Saccharomyces cerevisiae S288C: one gene and its partners. The gene in region 1 interacts genetically with each later gene. Each region holds a gene or a part of one and is shown in the gene's direction. Other genes may lie near its edges.

Region 1 (7,807 bases):
GCAGCCTGGAATTTTTTTTTCAATTCTCGCCGAATAGGAGGATTGATGAGCTGCCACTATTGAATTTTTGAGGAAGAGTGGCTTCAGCATGTAGTTTTCCTTTCTACTAGGCCAGAAAAGCAACTATACAAAGACGAAAGCTTCCTTACTCGAGGTTGAAAAGAATAGCAAAAATCTTTCCTTTTCAAACAGCTCATTTGGAATTGTTTATAGCACTGAATTGAATCGAAGAGGAATAAAGATCCCCCGTACGAACTTCTTTATTTTTAGTTTTTCATTTTTTGTTATTAGTCATATTGTTTTAAGCTGCAAATTAAGTTGTACACCAAATGATGAATAACAACGGCAACCAAGTGTCGAATCTCTCCAATGCGCTCCGTCAAGTAAACATAGGAAACAGGAACAGTAATACAACCACCGATCAAAGTAATATAAATTTTGAATTTTCAACAGGTGTAAATAATAATAATAATAACAATAGCAGTAGTAATAACAATAATGTTCAAAACAATAACAGCGGCCGCAATGGTAGCCAAAATAATGATAACGAGAATAATATCAAGAATACCTTAGAACAACATCGACAACAACAACAGGCATTTTCGGATATGAGTCACGTGGAGTATTCCAGAATTACAAAATTTTTTCAAGAACAACCACTGGAGGGATATACCCTTTTCTCTCACAGGTCTGCGCCTAATGGATTCAAAGTTGCTATAGTACTAAGTGAACTTGGATTTCATTATAACACAATCTTCCTAGATTTCAATCTTGGCGAACATAGGGCCCCCGAATTTGTGTCTGTGAACCCTAATGCAAGAGTTCCAGCTTTAATCGATCATGGTATGGACAACTTGTCTATTTGGGAATCAGGGGCGATTTTATTACATTTGGTAAATAAATATTACAAAGAGACTGGTAATCCATTACTCTGGTCCGATGATTTAGCTGACCAATCACAAATCAACGCATGGTTGTTCTTCCAAACGTCAGGGCATGCGCCAATGATTGGACAAGCTTTACATTTCAGATACTTCCATTCACAAAAGATAGCAAGTGCTGTAGAAAGATATACGGATGAGGTTAGAAGAGTTTACGGTGTAGTGGAGATGGCCTTGGCTGAACGTAGAGAAGCGCTGGTGATGGAATTAGACACGGAAAATGCGGCTGCATACTCAGCTGGTACAACACCAATGTCACAAAGTCGTTTCTTTGATTATCCCGTATGGCTTGTAGGAGATAAATTAACTATAGCAGATTTGGCCTTTGTCCCATGGAATAATGTCGTGGATAGAATTGGCATTAATATCAAAATTGAATTTCCAGAAGTTTACAAATGGACGAAGCATATGATGAGAAGACCCGCGGTCATCAAGGCATTGCGTGGTGAATGAAGGCTGCTTTAAAAACAAGAAAGAAAGAAGAAGGAGGAAAAGAAGGTTATAAGGGTATGTATATAGGCAGACAAAAAGGAAAATTAAGTGCAAATATAAACAAAAATGTCATAGAAGTATATAATAGTTTTGAAATTTCTGTTGCTTCTATTTATTCTTTGTTACCCCAACCACAGAATTCCAAAATTTTGTTTTATGTAATAATTGAAATACTATAAATTTCTCAACTATATTCGGGGTGTTGTCACTGTATATCTGGCGCTTTCAATAAAGCTGGTACAATTGCGTATTTTTCTCGGCATTTGCCACGATGGGCTTAAGAAAGATCACAATAGAAAATTTCAAATATTTAATATTTGCGAAGAAGGGATTTGTTCAGTTATGACGATTAGATACATATGTAACTTACATGCAAACGGTTTTTGTTCATGGAAATACGTTCTAGTGAATGTATAAATCGATTGATGTCGAGATATGAAAAGTTTACAAACACTATGTGAAATCTCATTGATGAGAAATCATTCAAACATACAATCTGTGAGTAATGTCCCCTATCACTTATTAAAGAGGATACTGCAGAAAGTAAAAATACCACAACTATTAAAACTTGAGAAAAGCAACGTACTATTGATATTTGACGATGATGAACTATGGTTAGAATTTTTAAGGCAAGATTTCCCGACTAATGTACACGAACAATTTGTCTCTAAGAGAGACATTATTTGCAAATATTACTTTGATTTCGTTAAGGAAAACGATATAGAACTGTACCATTCGAATCAGGATTTATTGAAGTCTTGCGTGCGTCAATCAGTCGTCAAAGACATCCGAAACAACAAGTACCGAATACCATACAGAATGTTATACTCAAAGTACCAACAAGAAGTGGAAAAGAAACAAGAGGAAAGCGCAGAGAGATTAAGGCTGGAAATGCAGAAGTTGCAGCAAGAAAGAGAAAAAAAGCAAACCATAGTGGTTGACCACACTGTTTACTTCAAAAAGAGAAACACCAAGAAGACTACAAGGTTGCACAACGAACCCCATTCGCAATTATACATGAAATCGTTGAAAGATCACGAGTCCAGACTAAAGCATTTCAAAGACGGCGGATTCAACATTGCAAAAAGGCATGCGCAACGTGTGGCCTTTGGTGGCCAAGCGGGCGGACAATCGTCTTCCCCCAAGAAAGGCCCATTGTCCATCAAACCGGAGCCTGTTAAGGTAAATCGTCAAATGGATAATGTCACAGCAGAGAAGAAAGATGTTACGCAGCCCATCACGCCGGTGAAGAAGAGAAGATCCGAATCACCGTCAATCTTTCTCAATCGTAAAAAACCTGCGCTATTCAGGCCTACTCCGAAGACAAACGCTGCAGGTTCTCGACCCCATACAACAGCGATCACCAACGATCACCGTACTACTTCTCATCCTTATCCCCACAAAGATGTTGTAACTTCAATATCAAGTGTCACCGCAAATCCCGTAACAAAGGGCCACAAGAAGAAGAAATCCGGAATTTTCGTACGAAATGCCGGATCTGACGGAGATAGTTTTCCGCACGTGACCGCAACCGGCCCTACTACCCGTCCGTATATCTATGAGCCACGGAAATAGCAGTAACCCAACTCCGAAGGCCGTCACATCCCCTGCGATTTCCCACGGGTCCAGTCATTCCGCGGAGAAAGAAAGCAACCGGAAGCAACGGCATCCCTGCTTATAAGCGATTTTCGCGTTGCGCGTCATCTTTTTGTCTTCCGTCTTAGTAATTTTTATGATTTTTTTCATTCCACCCGACTCTATTTGAGTGCAAGCATGCGATATATCTCTCTATATATTGCCAGATCTTTATCGCAATAGGTTCATGCACTATATGCGCATCCCACTCTTGTACATGCACAATATTGTGCTCATTGTCTGAATATATATATATTTATATATATATATGTATGTATATATATCAGTTCTAGATAGACTAATACCACTTCTTCGTTAGAAAAATATTTCAATCCTTATTTTGTTTCTAACTGTTCCCTTCTCTCCATCCAACAAATAATACAAAACCACTTTATATAAAAAAAATTACAAAAGCAAAAAATGTTCAAGAGATTTAGCAAAAAGAAGGAGGCTCCAGAAGACCCAAAAAATTTGATTAATATTGATAAGCCTATCAAAGAACTTCCTGCTTCGATAGCTATTCCAAAAGAAAAACCACTTACAGGTGAGCAACAAAAAATGTATGACGAAGTGCTAAAACATTTCAGTAACCCTGACTTGAAGGTTTATACAAGTGAAAAAAATAAGTCGGAGGATGATCTTAAACCCTTAGAGGAAGAAGAAAAGGCATGGTTGACAAGAGAATGTTTTTTACGTTACCTAAGGGCTACTAAATGGGTGCTAAAAGACTGTATCGATAGAATCACCATGACTCTAGCGTGGAGAAGAGAATTCGGTATTAGTCATTTAGGTGAAGAGCATGGTGATAAAATAACTGCTGACTTGGTGGCCGTCGAGAACGAATCAGGTAAGCAGGTGATTTTGGGTTACGAAAACGATGCTAGACCTATCTTATATTTGAAACCGGGCAGACAAAATACAAAGACTTCTCACAGACAGGTACAGCACTTGGTCTTCATGTTGGAAAGAGTTATCGATTTTATGCCAGCTGGTCAAGACTCTCTAGCTTTGCTAATAGACTTTAAAGATTACCCTGATGTTCCTAAAGTACCTGGCAATAGTAAAATCCCACCTATTGGTGTAGGGAAAGAAGTGCTGCATATTCTACAAACTCATTATCCAGAAAGACTAGGAAAAGCACTTTTGACGAATATTCCTTGGTTAGCATGGACTTTCTTGAAGTTAATTCACCCTTTTATTGACCCACTGACCCGTGAAAAGCTAGTTTTTGATGAACCATTTGTTAAATATGTCCCTAAGAACGAACTAGATTCGTTGTATGGTGGTGATCTGAAATTCAAGTACAATCATGATGTTTATTGGCCAGCTCTGGTGGAAACCGCGCGTGAAAAAAGAGATCATTATTTTAAGAGGTTTCAAAGCTTCGGTGGTATTGTAGGTTTAAGTGAGGTTGATTTAAGAGGTACTCATGAAAAACTTCTTTACCCAGTAAAATCGGAAAGCAGTACCGTGTAAAGGCAAATTTAGATAGATAATGATAATGCACTATAATATATAATAAATAAAAGAGAATAAAAAGTTTAATCACGTTCCCGCTTCTTTTTCCTAACCATCAAAGAATGCAATCTAAAGAAGAAGAAGCGAATACCCTCTTTTAAATATATACGCGTCTATATGCACTGTAGATAAGCTGTTACATATCAAAAAGGTTTGGCACATTTGCGCTTTTCTGTAGCGCCTGTAACCGGTGAAGTCATCATTTGCCAGTCTGTAGCATACATCAATCCACCAGCACCATTAGCAGCTCTGGCGAACACGACCCCAAGGTCATTCCTTGCAGTGGTCAAATAGTAGTTGGTTCCGTCACCTAATGATAAAACTTGCGCCCTAACAATATCTCCCGGCTTGAAACATTCTATCACTTTCACACGATCTCTGTCTGTAGACCGTACATCCTGAGACCTGATTATACCTCTGAATGTCTCACCTAAATCTGATGATGCTTGAGAAACAGAGAACGTAGCTGCTCCAGAACCGCCACCAGCAGCGACTATTCCCGATCCATTACTGCCGATGCCACTATCAATTGGAGATGGTTTATCTTCCACAGCTAAAATTTCGACATTGGCTCGTTGCAACGAAAGCCTTGTCACCCTGGTCAGCACAATATCACCTTCCTTCGGTAGGTTATTGGCAAAATCATTATTAGCATATTTGTTGGTTTTACGACCCTTTTCTGTCCCAGGAAGCACTGAAACCAGAATATTTTTTACAGTTCTTCTTGTGACATCATTAGGTGATGCATCTACTGATTTTTCTTCCTCTGTAGATTGATCAGTGCCTTCACGCTCTTCTTCCTGATCAGTTTTTTTTTCTTCCTCACACCTCACTGTCCCAACTAGTGTAGCAGTTATAGCTTCTAAAGTTCGTCCGTTGTGTTCATATTGAATTAGTTTAGTTCCGGGACCGGGCACATAATTGAAAATTATATCTTCGCCATCTTTATTTTCCGTACCGTACTGTGGGCATATTAGTTTACCTGGATAAGCTATTTCTGGAAACTGAAAATTGCATGCCATTATAATACACTTATAGATTGAGGTATTCAATGCTCTGGAAAAAATCAAAGAATCTTTAATATACAAATGCGTAGTTAATCATGCCGTACCATAAGCTCATCATCAGTGAATTCTGGATCTTATTTTTCTTTCTTTTTTCAATATTTTTTGGAAATTTTTACTTCACGTGACGGAGACGGGTAATGCAGACGGTATTTTGAAATGATGCCGCAAATACAACACATAACACCCAAGATTCTTGCGATAAATTATAGGTTTATAAAAACTAGAATGTCTTGATATGTATGATTTGATTCATTTCCATTTCTCCCAGTTTTCTGCTCTAATAAAAATGTGTGTAACATCGCGAATCATCGTGTACTTCCATTGCGCTCTTTAACTCATTTAATTCCAATTTGATCATTTGAGCCAGTTGTGGAGTAAGCTGGTTACAAGTGGAAATTTCTGGATGTCTATCATATTCGAATTCTCCATAAGTGTCGTAAAGTATTATCTGGGACGAAAACCGGACACCCTGGTCATTATTACTGTTTACATACACCTCACCTAGACTTGTTAAGTCTGATTTTACGGGAGAATCAGGCGTCATGGAGTCAATAAAAGAAGTATTCATTCTTGGGGCTTTTAGTCCTTTAAAGGACATTGAAACAGGTCTATTGGGTTCGAATTCTGGTAAATATGCATTATTTCTTGGAGTAACTTCTATGGGCTGTTCTATGTGTTTGTTGAAATCTTCATTCTCAAATTCGTTGTCATTTATTTCACTTCCGTCTTGTTCAAATGTATGTAATTGACCTTGACGCTCATCTCCGTATGTAGTAGCTCCAGCAGCGGAATAAGATTGAGTTTCTCTTTCTTTGTAACTATCCTCTTTGTTATTTCGTGTATCAAAAGTACCAGAGCGATTTACTTCATCATTTCCAACAGGTTCAGGGGTTTCTGTTGCATATGAGGCCGTTGTATCTCCCAAGTCTAGGTCTAGATTGAGATCATCATCACCGAAGTTAATAAAACTTGCAAACTCCATTATATCAGAAATTAACTCGTTATCATCATCTGCAAAAACGCTTTGCCTTTCAGAATCCTTCTTCAGAGGTTCTTCTCTTGGTTTTGGTACATCCCTTTCAACTTCAGTTTTTTCTTCATCAGAGGCCATCACTAGCTGGTCAAATTTTTGTTCAATAGACTCTAAAAATATGTCATCTTTTTTTAGTGGACCACTATCGTCCTTGATATCTAAAAAGTCCTCATTCGTGGTACCTTCGTAAGAGTGTTCTCTGGAGAAATTATCTGAGTATTCGAACCTTCCATTCTTTAAAATGCTGCTAGCAGGAGACTTCGTCAAGTCTGGAGTAGATAATACAACAGAAGATGCCTCAGTGATGAACATTCCCTCACTTTGCGCTTTGATCGATAGCGTATCTGTCAATGACCTTCTTTGCGAGTTCATTGAACTTCTCTTGTTAGACTTTGTAGATCTTGTTCTTTCTAAAGAAACGATCGAGTCGACTTCATGATTATCCAAAAATTTTGGGAAAAGAACCTCACCTGTATCGTGTTTGGAAAATGCTGGTGAGGGTGCTTCGTAGTCCAGTGATAAAAAATTATCCTTGGTTGGTAATTGAAGATCATTTTTGGCATCATCATCTTCTCTTACGTGTTCTTGTAGCGGGGTATTTATCTGTTTATCACCTCCCAATATGAGATCCATGTTTAAAGGAGTAGGTTTTCTCTGATCAATTGATCTCGTTACGTGATCTATTTTCACGGGAGTATCGTCGTGGTTTTTTCGTAGTAGAGGTGATTCAGTGGATAACACTGATGCGGCGTCAATTATTTGTTCAGTATCTTGCTTTTTGTCCTTGGATTTTGGGGTTCTTTTTTTTTGCCTCATTGGTTCCTTTCGAGGTGAGTCTGATGTTTCAATTTTTCCCTTTAGGAAGGAATTGAAAATGCTACTGCTACTGTGAGACTTCTTCTTTAGTTTTTCAGGCGTTTTTAAAGAGGTTTGAATATTCATTGAGAAAGTGCTCGATGAAGACATCTTATTTTTTTCATTCGTTACACTATTATTACCAATAACTGGTTTCGGTTCTTTCTTCTTCAGAAATGAAAATATACTCTTTTTCTTTTTATGCATAGAAGTGTCTTCAAGTACCGAGCCTGCTGAAGTAGTCCTTTGGGCAGAAGAATCAGTAT
Region 2 (3,710 bases), on another chromosome or scaffold:
GGTACCATTACTGAAGGGGTCTAATAGCATGGAGGAAGGATTGAGTACTAGAGAAAATTCTCTAAAACTTGAGTATACCGATTATGCCTGGATCATTCAATTTTTGCTAATTGTACCAATACCATCATTTATTTTGTTTAACAGTGTGGATGTTATCATGGACGCACTAAACCATACTGTCCAGGAAGGAAGTAAGGCTACATTTGATGTACTCAGGTTCGGAATGGTGGGCAGTATTTTGATCGCGCTACCAATTTTACCTTTTTTCTATAAGGTCAACTATATCACAATTTCTTTAACTGCACTGCTTTTCTTGATTTCCGCATCCAAAACGCTCCTAGTGCACCCCTTTACCAATAGTAACCCATTAAAAGTAAGGTTTTCTCAAAATATTGATTTGTCTCAAGGGAACGCTGCCAGTGTACATGTCCTTGGAAGAGAAGGAAATTTTTTAAAACCTATGCTGCAAGATTTACCAAGTATAAAATATAGCTCTACACATATTAACTGTACTTCCGTAACCAATGGAATGGAACTTTGTATGTATGATGGAATGCAACCTAATTTATTGAGCACGAATGGAAATACGAACATCAGCAGTATGGTCAAGGTTCATGTTTTACATAATAACCGAAACTCAACAGAGAGATCTCCTTACGAACCAATAGTTGCAGAGTTACTTTTGGAGGTGAAGGAGAACAGGGCTTGCACTTTAACTTTTGAAAGTAGACATCAGGCGAAGTCACCTGTCAGAGAAATCACGGTATATCAAAAGAAAAATTCGGCCCCACAGAAAGCTAATATCACGAAGACGATCAAGTCTGCTTCTGGCATAAACGAACTGCAATTGCATAAACTTGATTTCGATCAGGAAACTTACCATATCGGAGTCCAGTGGTTTCCAAAACTTTTGACGGATGGAAATGTAGAGGATGACAAGTTGGGGACAAAAGACGAACTGTCTGTTTCTATTAGCTGTTATTGGGGAGAATATGATTCGGAATCGGTTGTAAATGGTACCGCTGTTAGGAAAATTCCAGCATTTGATGAATTGATAAATTACGCACCTCTAAGTTTTTCCTTTACCAACGAACAGAAAGGATTAGTTATTGTCAAGGATGCTATAATTTTATAATTCTAATTAGTTTTAAATGTAAATTTTTATAAACTCAAATTCGCCTACTGGGGGAGTTGTCCAAAGGCTTCGCTTCTTCCCACAAGAAGAACAAAATAATAAAAAATATTTTGAGAAATTTTTCGTAACAAAAGGAAAAACTATTGAGTTTAACTTATGAATGTACTTTACTGGCCAAGAATCCGTCTGGAACCATTCTACGGTGCTCTCTTCGTAGCGCTAAAGACAGCTATAGTGGATATTCAGACGGTATTGAAAATCACTAATGATATCAGTTAACAAAGTAAGAAACATGTTTCGTCAGATAAGTTCTACACTGCTGCAAGTGCATACAATGCTCGTTTTTATAAAGTCCTAAATTATATAACCCTCCAGTAACTATTAGAAAATAGCACGCAATAATGCTAGCGATATACAAATAACCTGTAAATCTATATATTTATTAAGTATAAAGATAATGGTCTTGGAAATGGTTCTTCAGGGATTGTGATTGACTATAGCCGGATATCGTTTGGATCAAGAGCTTGGTTAAGCGGATATTTAAGTTATTTTAATATATCGCTTTGTCCAAAAGCAAGTTTTGGAGGTGGGATCTCAATTTACACGATACAGTATTAACCAAATCTTGATAGCAAAAAAATGCAAAATATCGTATAAGTGAAGGCAAAGCATTGTCCAATGTAAGGTTCTGTGCCGCCCTTCCCTTTTTTGAAAGCTGCTAGATATCATTGTTACCCTTTTTAATTTCTACGCTATTCTCGGACGTCATAATTTTATAGTTACTGACACTAAAAAAAGGGTCGTACGTCTTACTGGCAGCGCCGAAAAATGTTTCGAAAATACACCTTAACACATTGAAGTAGTGATGATTTCATAAAAAACCACAAGAATTTGTTCGCTAATACATTAATTCGGTACTAGACTTTATTGACTCGTATATTTCTAACGAATAAATCACCCACTCTTGCTATCCTAACAGTATTTAATATTAGCTATTTAAAAGCCTTAAGATGGACTATGGCTACTTTTTTCCCGCACAACGTATTGAAGAAACAAATGGTGTGGATTTTTGGATAGACAGTAATGCTGAATTTACACAGTCTAAAAGACCTGACTCTTCAACATCCACTCTTTCGAGGGTTTTAACGGACACCACGAATGTATCCAATAATAGTGGATCACTCAAAAGAAAAACCATCAAGAACAAAATATTCCCACAAAGGAAAATATTCAACGATAGCGAAAATTTTGACTTTGGTAAAGCCAACACTGATTGTAAGCATGTGTTTAAAAGTATTTCTAAGCAACTGATTTTTCTTCCAAGGTGTTTCCAACATCACAGTATCCGAGGCTGGATGAAAGACAGATACTCCGAATTTGGTTATAAAATAAAAAGAAATCAAAATTGTCCCCCCTCAGCATGTGTACAGGCACTATACAATACTAGTAGATCCAATACCGAAGAGTCAAACCCCAACAGTCTGGATTCTCTGATAATGTATAAATACATGCGATACTCTGAAAAGAAAAAGGAATTGATGTGCAGATTTTGCCAGGGGAATAATTGGATTCTAGCTGAAAACTACCTAAAACATTTATTCTTTGCGCACGGCATTTTGTCTGAATTTAAGCCTCACACTTTATACCATTTCGAGTCTAAGCTGTTAAAAATCCAGGGAAAACTTAATTTCAAAATTCAAGTATTAAAAGAGCCAGAGTTTAGCAAAAAAATTTTGAACTCTCTTACTGTATCCATCATTCCCTCTCCTTTGGCCTACTACACTCAAACGTTGAACGGGGGATTTAGGAGAATCCATGTGAAATGCCCCCACTGCGAAAATTGGATCCGTTTGGGTTGGTGTGAATACGATGAAATCATTAGGGATTCCTTTCAGGATTTCGAGTCTCTAAGAAACCTCAATGCTGATTATAATGGGATGTCGTATATTCAAACACGCAATAGAGAAGACATTGAAGGTATATACGAGAATTATTTTACACACTACATCCAATGCGACTTAGCCACGTTCCGAACGAAATGTTTATATGTCCAAGTTATAACAAAAAGCAATTGATTGTGTACGCAAGATATTAAAAATAAATGATCATATAACAAATCAAACAAAATTTGCCGCTAGTAACGAACTAAACGATTACGAGACGGCTGATAAATACTAATATTCACCATCCTAGCGAAGAAACGCTTTAAATTTATAACGGTTACCATCCAAAATAATGAACATAAGCAGATCTGGCACCGTAGCAGCTCATTGGGGAAAAAAAAGCTGTCATGTAGGGCCCTCTGAGCATAATAAAAAAAGAAGATGCTTCCGTTCAATAACAGCGATAGGTAGATGGGGGAAAAAAAGGAGAGGAAGATGAGGCCCTTATGTACGTGCATATATATGTGCGAGTGCACGAAAGTGCACCACGGCAATCCGCGTAATCAAGCTTATGTAAATGGCGTGTCTGCGTAAACTCTGTCCCTGCGAAAATGTGTTTATTTATAGACTGTTCGCATTGTTTTTTCCAGCCCCCATCCGGAGACGCATGAAAAGGTGTGGCCTCGATACAT
Region 3 (5,005 bases), on another chromosome or scaffold:
CATGTTAACAACGATCAGTTATTTTTTGTGGACGATGGTGGTAACGAAGATAGTCAAGATAAGAATGAAGATACCATGGACGTGGATGACGAAGATGACTCTTCAAGCGATGATTATTCTGAGGACTCTGAAGAAGCTGCTTGGATAGATTCGGATGATGAAAAAATTAAAGTGCCTATTCTTGTTACCAATAAGACAAAGAAATTAAGAACCTCCTATAACGAGTCCAAAATCAACGGTGTTCATTACATCAACAGATTGAGATCTCAGTTTGAAAAGATATATCCAAGGCCCAAATGGGTGGACGATGAATCTGATTCTGAATTAGATGACGAAGAAGACGATGAAGAAGAAGGCTCTAATAATGTTATTAATGGAGATATTAATGCTCTAACGAAGATCCTGTCTACTACTTACAATTATAAAGACACTTTATCGAATTCCAAACTATTACCCCCTAAGAAACTTGACATTGTGCGTCTTAAAGATGCAAATGCATCACACCCGTCTCATTCCGCCATACAATCTCTTTCATTCCATCCTTCTAAGCCTCTACTGTTAACGGGTGGGTATGATAAGACCTTAAGAATATATCATATTGACGGGAAAACGAACCATCTAGTGACAAGTTTGCACCTGGTTGGGTCTCCAATACAAACATGTACTTTCTATACTTCTCTATCAAACCAAAATCAACAAAATATATTCACCGCCGGTAGAAGAAGATATATGCATTCCTGGGACTTATCCTTAGAAAATTTAACTCATTCACAGACTGCCAAAATCGAAAAATTTTCCAGATTGTATGGACATGAGTCCACTCAAAGATCATTTGAGAATTTCAAAGTTGCACATTTGCAGAATTCACAAACAAATTCTGTCCATGGAATTGTCCTTTTACAGGGTAATAATGGTTGGATTAACATTTTACATTCCACTTCCGGACTATGGTTAATGGGCTGCAAGATAGAAGGTGTGATAACGGATTTCTGTATCGATTATCAACCTATTTCACGTGGTAAGTTTAGGACCATTTTAATTGCTGTAAACGCGTATGGTGAAGTGTGGGAATTTGACTTGAATAAGAATGGCCATGTTATAAGAAGATGGAAAGACCAAGGTGGCGTGGGTATAACAAAAATCCAAGTTGGTGGTGGGACAACAACTACTTGTCCGGCTCTTCAAATAAGTAAGATAAAGCAAAATAGGTGGCTTGCGGTAGGTAGTGAGAGTGGATTTGTTAATCTTTACGATAGAAATAATGCTATGACCTCGTCGACCCCTACACCTGTCGCCGCCTTGGACCAGCTAACAACTACCATTTCTAATCTACAATTTTCCCCTGATGGTCAAATACTGTGCATGGCATCCCGTGCAGTCAAGGATGCTTTGAGACTAGTTCATCTGCCTTCTTGTAGCGTGTTCAGCAACTGGCCTACCAGCGGGACGCCTTTGGGTAAAGTTACCAGTGTCGCATTTTCGCCATCTGGTGGGCTACTGGCCGTGGGTAACGAACAAGGTAAAGTGAGGCTCTGGAAATTAAACCACTACTAAATTTCCATTTATAGACAAACTTAGATATTAAAAGCAATGTACAAATACATACACAAAATATCACTGTAAAAAAATTGCGAAGAAACTTGAAATTGAATATGATTCTGCCCACTTTTTTCTTGCTGTCATTTATAGTCAGAAATGAAAAATTGTCCGAGAAATTAAATATAATATATGGAAAAAAAGGGGACATTGAGTTTAAAGAATTTGATTAAAATGTCCTCTCAATATCCTCTGTAAGAGTTATCTAAATCTCACTTTACTTATTCATCTCGCTGGGAATTATGCAGGCGGTAGAGAGAAGGCCCTCGTTACTCTTTGACGAATATCAAAATTCTGTTACTAAGCCTAATGAGACGAAGAATAAAGAAGCCAGGGTCTTGTCAGAGAATGACGGTGATGTCTCCCCATCTGTTTTGAAACAGAAGGAAATATCAGTCGATGATATGGATATGATTTCTTTGCCCACGGAATTTGACAGGCAAATGGTTTTAGGTTCACCTATGTTTTTCGATCTTGAAGACGAAGAAAACAAAATTGATCCACTTCCTTCAGTTTCCCATCATTATGGAAATGGAGAAAGTGACAGCTTTGTCTCATCGTACACGCCCTCAAATCTGAAAACGGGTGAAGAAACTAAAGATCTTTTCATTAATCCGTTTGAATTGGTTTCTCAAATGAGAAAAAGATACATTGCTGCTTCCAAACAAGATGGCATTTCAAACATAAAAAATGACACTGAAAAGTGGTTTTTATACCCAAAACCACTGCCAAAGTTTTGGAGATTTGAAGACGATAAACGATTCCAAGATCCCTCTGACTCTGACTTAAATGACGATGGAGACAGTACTGGGACCGGAGCCGCTACACCGCACCGCCATGGCTACTATTACCCAAGTTACTTTACCGATCACTACTACTACTACACAAAATCTGGTTTGAAAGGAAAAGGAAATATAAAAGTACCATACACCGGTGAATATTTCGATTTAGAGGATTACAAAAAACAATACATTTACCATTTAAGTAATCAGGAAAATACGCAAAACCCACTTTCACCTTATTCTAGTAAGGAGGAGTCACTAGAGGAAGAATTTTTAACAGATGTGCCTACGTTTCAAGAATTTAGGGATGATTTTGCATACATAATAGAGTTAATCCAATCTCATAAATTCAACGAGGTTTCACGAAAGCGATTATCTTATTTATTAGATAAATTTGAATTGTTTCAGTACCTAAACTCTAAGAAAGAAATTTTAGCTAATAAAAATGTTCCCTACAGAGATTTTTATAATTCTCGTAAGGTAGATCGAGACTTGTCTTTAAGTGGTTGTATTTCTCAACGTCAATTGAGTGAATATATATGGGAGAAAATAAATTTAGAACCTGAAAGGATAGTTTATCAAGACCCGGAAACGTCAAGGAAACTCAGTTTGAGAGACATTTTTCAGTTTGGTTGTTCTTCTAATGACCAACCCATTGCGATTGGGTTGAAATTGATTGATGATGAATTCTTGGATTGGTATAGAAATATTTACCTAATAGATTACCATCTAACTCCTAACAAAGTAGCAAAGTTGGTCGGCAAAGAAATGAGGTTTTACCTATTAGCCAAAGTGTTTCTGGAGTTTGATAATTTCATTGAAGGTGAGTACCTAGCAGAAATTTTCATAAAATACGTTATTCATATCCTCGAAAAATCAAAGTACCAATTGGCCCAAGTATCAGTTAATTTTCAATTCTATTCCAGTGGTGAAGACTGGTACAAGAAATTTTCTCAATGGTTGCTACGATGGAAGCTAGTATCGTATAATATCCGCTGGAATATACAAATTGCCAGGATTTTTCCCAAACTATTCAAGGAAAATGTCGTGTCAAATTTCCAGGAGTTTTTGGATCTTATCTTCAATCCTTTATTCACTCTGGAAAAGGAGCAGTTACCAATAGATTCATCTGTAAATACTGATATCATTGGTCTGCAGTTTTTTTTATCAAATGTGTGTTCTATGGATCTGGTCATTAAAGAGTCGGATGAATATTACTGGAAAGAATTTACTGATATGAATTGTAAGCCAAAATTTTGGACAGCACAGGGTGACAATCCAACTGTTGCGCATTACATGTATTATATTTATAAAAGTTTAGCGAAAGTTAATTTTCTGCGGTCACAAAATCTTCAAAATACAATCACCCTAAGAAATTATTGTTCTCCACTATCCAGCAGAACTTCCCAATTTGGAGTGGATTTATATTTTACAGATCAAGTTGAATCGTTAGTGTGCAACTTACTGCTTTGTAATGGTGGTCTGCTACAGGTAGAACCGCTTTGGGATACTGCAACAATGATTCAATATTTATTTTATCTCTTTCAAATACCCATTTTAGCTGCGCCATTATCATCTGTTTCATTACTGAATTCGCAAAAATCGACCTTTTTGAAGAATAAAAACGTGCTTCTAGAACATGATTATTTGAAAGACCAGGAAACAGCCAAAATCAATCCTTCTAGAGATATCACTGTGGGCGAACAAAGATCATATGAGACAAATCCTTTCATGAAAATGTTTAAGATGGGACTAAAAATTTCTTTATCATCAAAATCGATTCTTTACAATAGTTCATACACGCTAGAACCTCTCATTGAAGAATACAGTGTAGCAGCAAGTATTTACTTGCTGAACCCAACAGATTTGTGCGAGTTGTCGAGAACAAGTGTGCTATCTAGTGGCTATGAAGGTTGGTACAAGGCTCATTGGATTGGCGTTGGAGTTAAAAAGGCGCCTTACTTTGAGGAGAACGTGGGTGGGATAGATAATTGGTACGATACAGCGAAAGATACCTCGATAAAGCACAACGTTCCGATGATTAGAAGAAGATATAGAAAGGAGACATTGGATCAAGAGTGGAACTTCGTTCGGGATCACTTTGGAGTAATTAACTCCATTTGGTAGGGTAAAGTGAAATATCAACAACTTTGCATAGTAAGATATATATATTTATATAGATACCTTAAAAACTGAAAATGAAAACTTGAAAGTTAAGGAGGAGGAGAATGCGTCTTTGTTTCATGAAATATTTTTTTCATTTTCCCAACTTGGCTTGATGTCCCTGACAGACCTCATGAATTCTCTTAAACGTTTCTTGTCACGTAGTGCCCTCTTAGCGTATTGAGGGTTACCGTAGTAAAATAGTTTAAATTGGCTTTGCTTTTCATCACAGTGTTCGGGGTCTAAGTCAATCGACAAATCTAGCACAGCAACGCTACGTTGAAAATACCACTTGTTCACCACATTGTCTTTTCTGCTTCTCCAAAGTATCTCATTAGGAAATTTTTTGAACATCAAATTGAAGATTATATCAGATATACCCAGCGAGCCTTTCAAGTGTGGTAGAACGGCGAACTTATCGAGATAAACAAAGGAATTTTCCTCCGAGCCTTCATAGGTAAGAA

What was found. A genetic interaction does not mean that the proteins touch.
Region 2: mutations in ELA1 (region 1) and ECM8 together harm fitness more than expected from each alone (negative genetic interaction), as found in Saccharomyces cerevisiae (2 studies listed by BioGRID).
Region 3: mutations in ELA1 (region 1) and YJL070C together harm fitness more than expected from each alone (negative genetic interaction), as found in Saccharomyces cerevisiae (2 studies listed by BioGRID).

The regions. Positions count from the first base shown.
Region 1 is NC_001146.8:212,724-220,530, reverse strand, and holds ELA1 (elongin A), read left to right. Parts: upstream 1-1,868; coding exon 1,869-3,008; downstream 3,009-7,807. Other genes in the region: URE2 (glutathione peroxidase), read left to right, coding at 330-1,394; PDR16 (phosphatidylinositol transporter), read left to right, coding at 3,489-4,544; exosome non-catalytic core subunit CSL4, read right to left, coding at 4,730-5,608; BNI4 (Bni4p), read right to left, coding at 5,931-7,807.
Region 2 is NC_001134.8:388,082-391,791, forward strand, and holds ECM8 (Ecm8p), read left to right. Parts: upstream 1-2,145; coding exon 2,146-3,210; downstream 3,211-3,710. Other genes in the region: PFF1 (Pff1p), read left to right, coding at 1-1,135. UniProt on the Saccharomyces cerevisiae protein: May be involved in cell wall organization and biogenesis.
Region 3 is NC_001142.9:307,471-312,475, reverse strand, and holds YJL070C (metallo-dependent hydrolase superfamily protein), read left to right. Parts: upstream 1-1,838; coding exon 1,839-4,505; downstream 4,506-5,005. Other genes in the region: UTP18 (Utp18p), read left to right, coding at 1-1,554; ARG2 (acetyl-CoA:L-glutamate N-acetyltransferase), read right to left, coding at 4,620-5,005.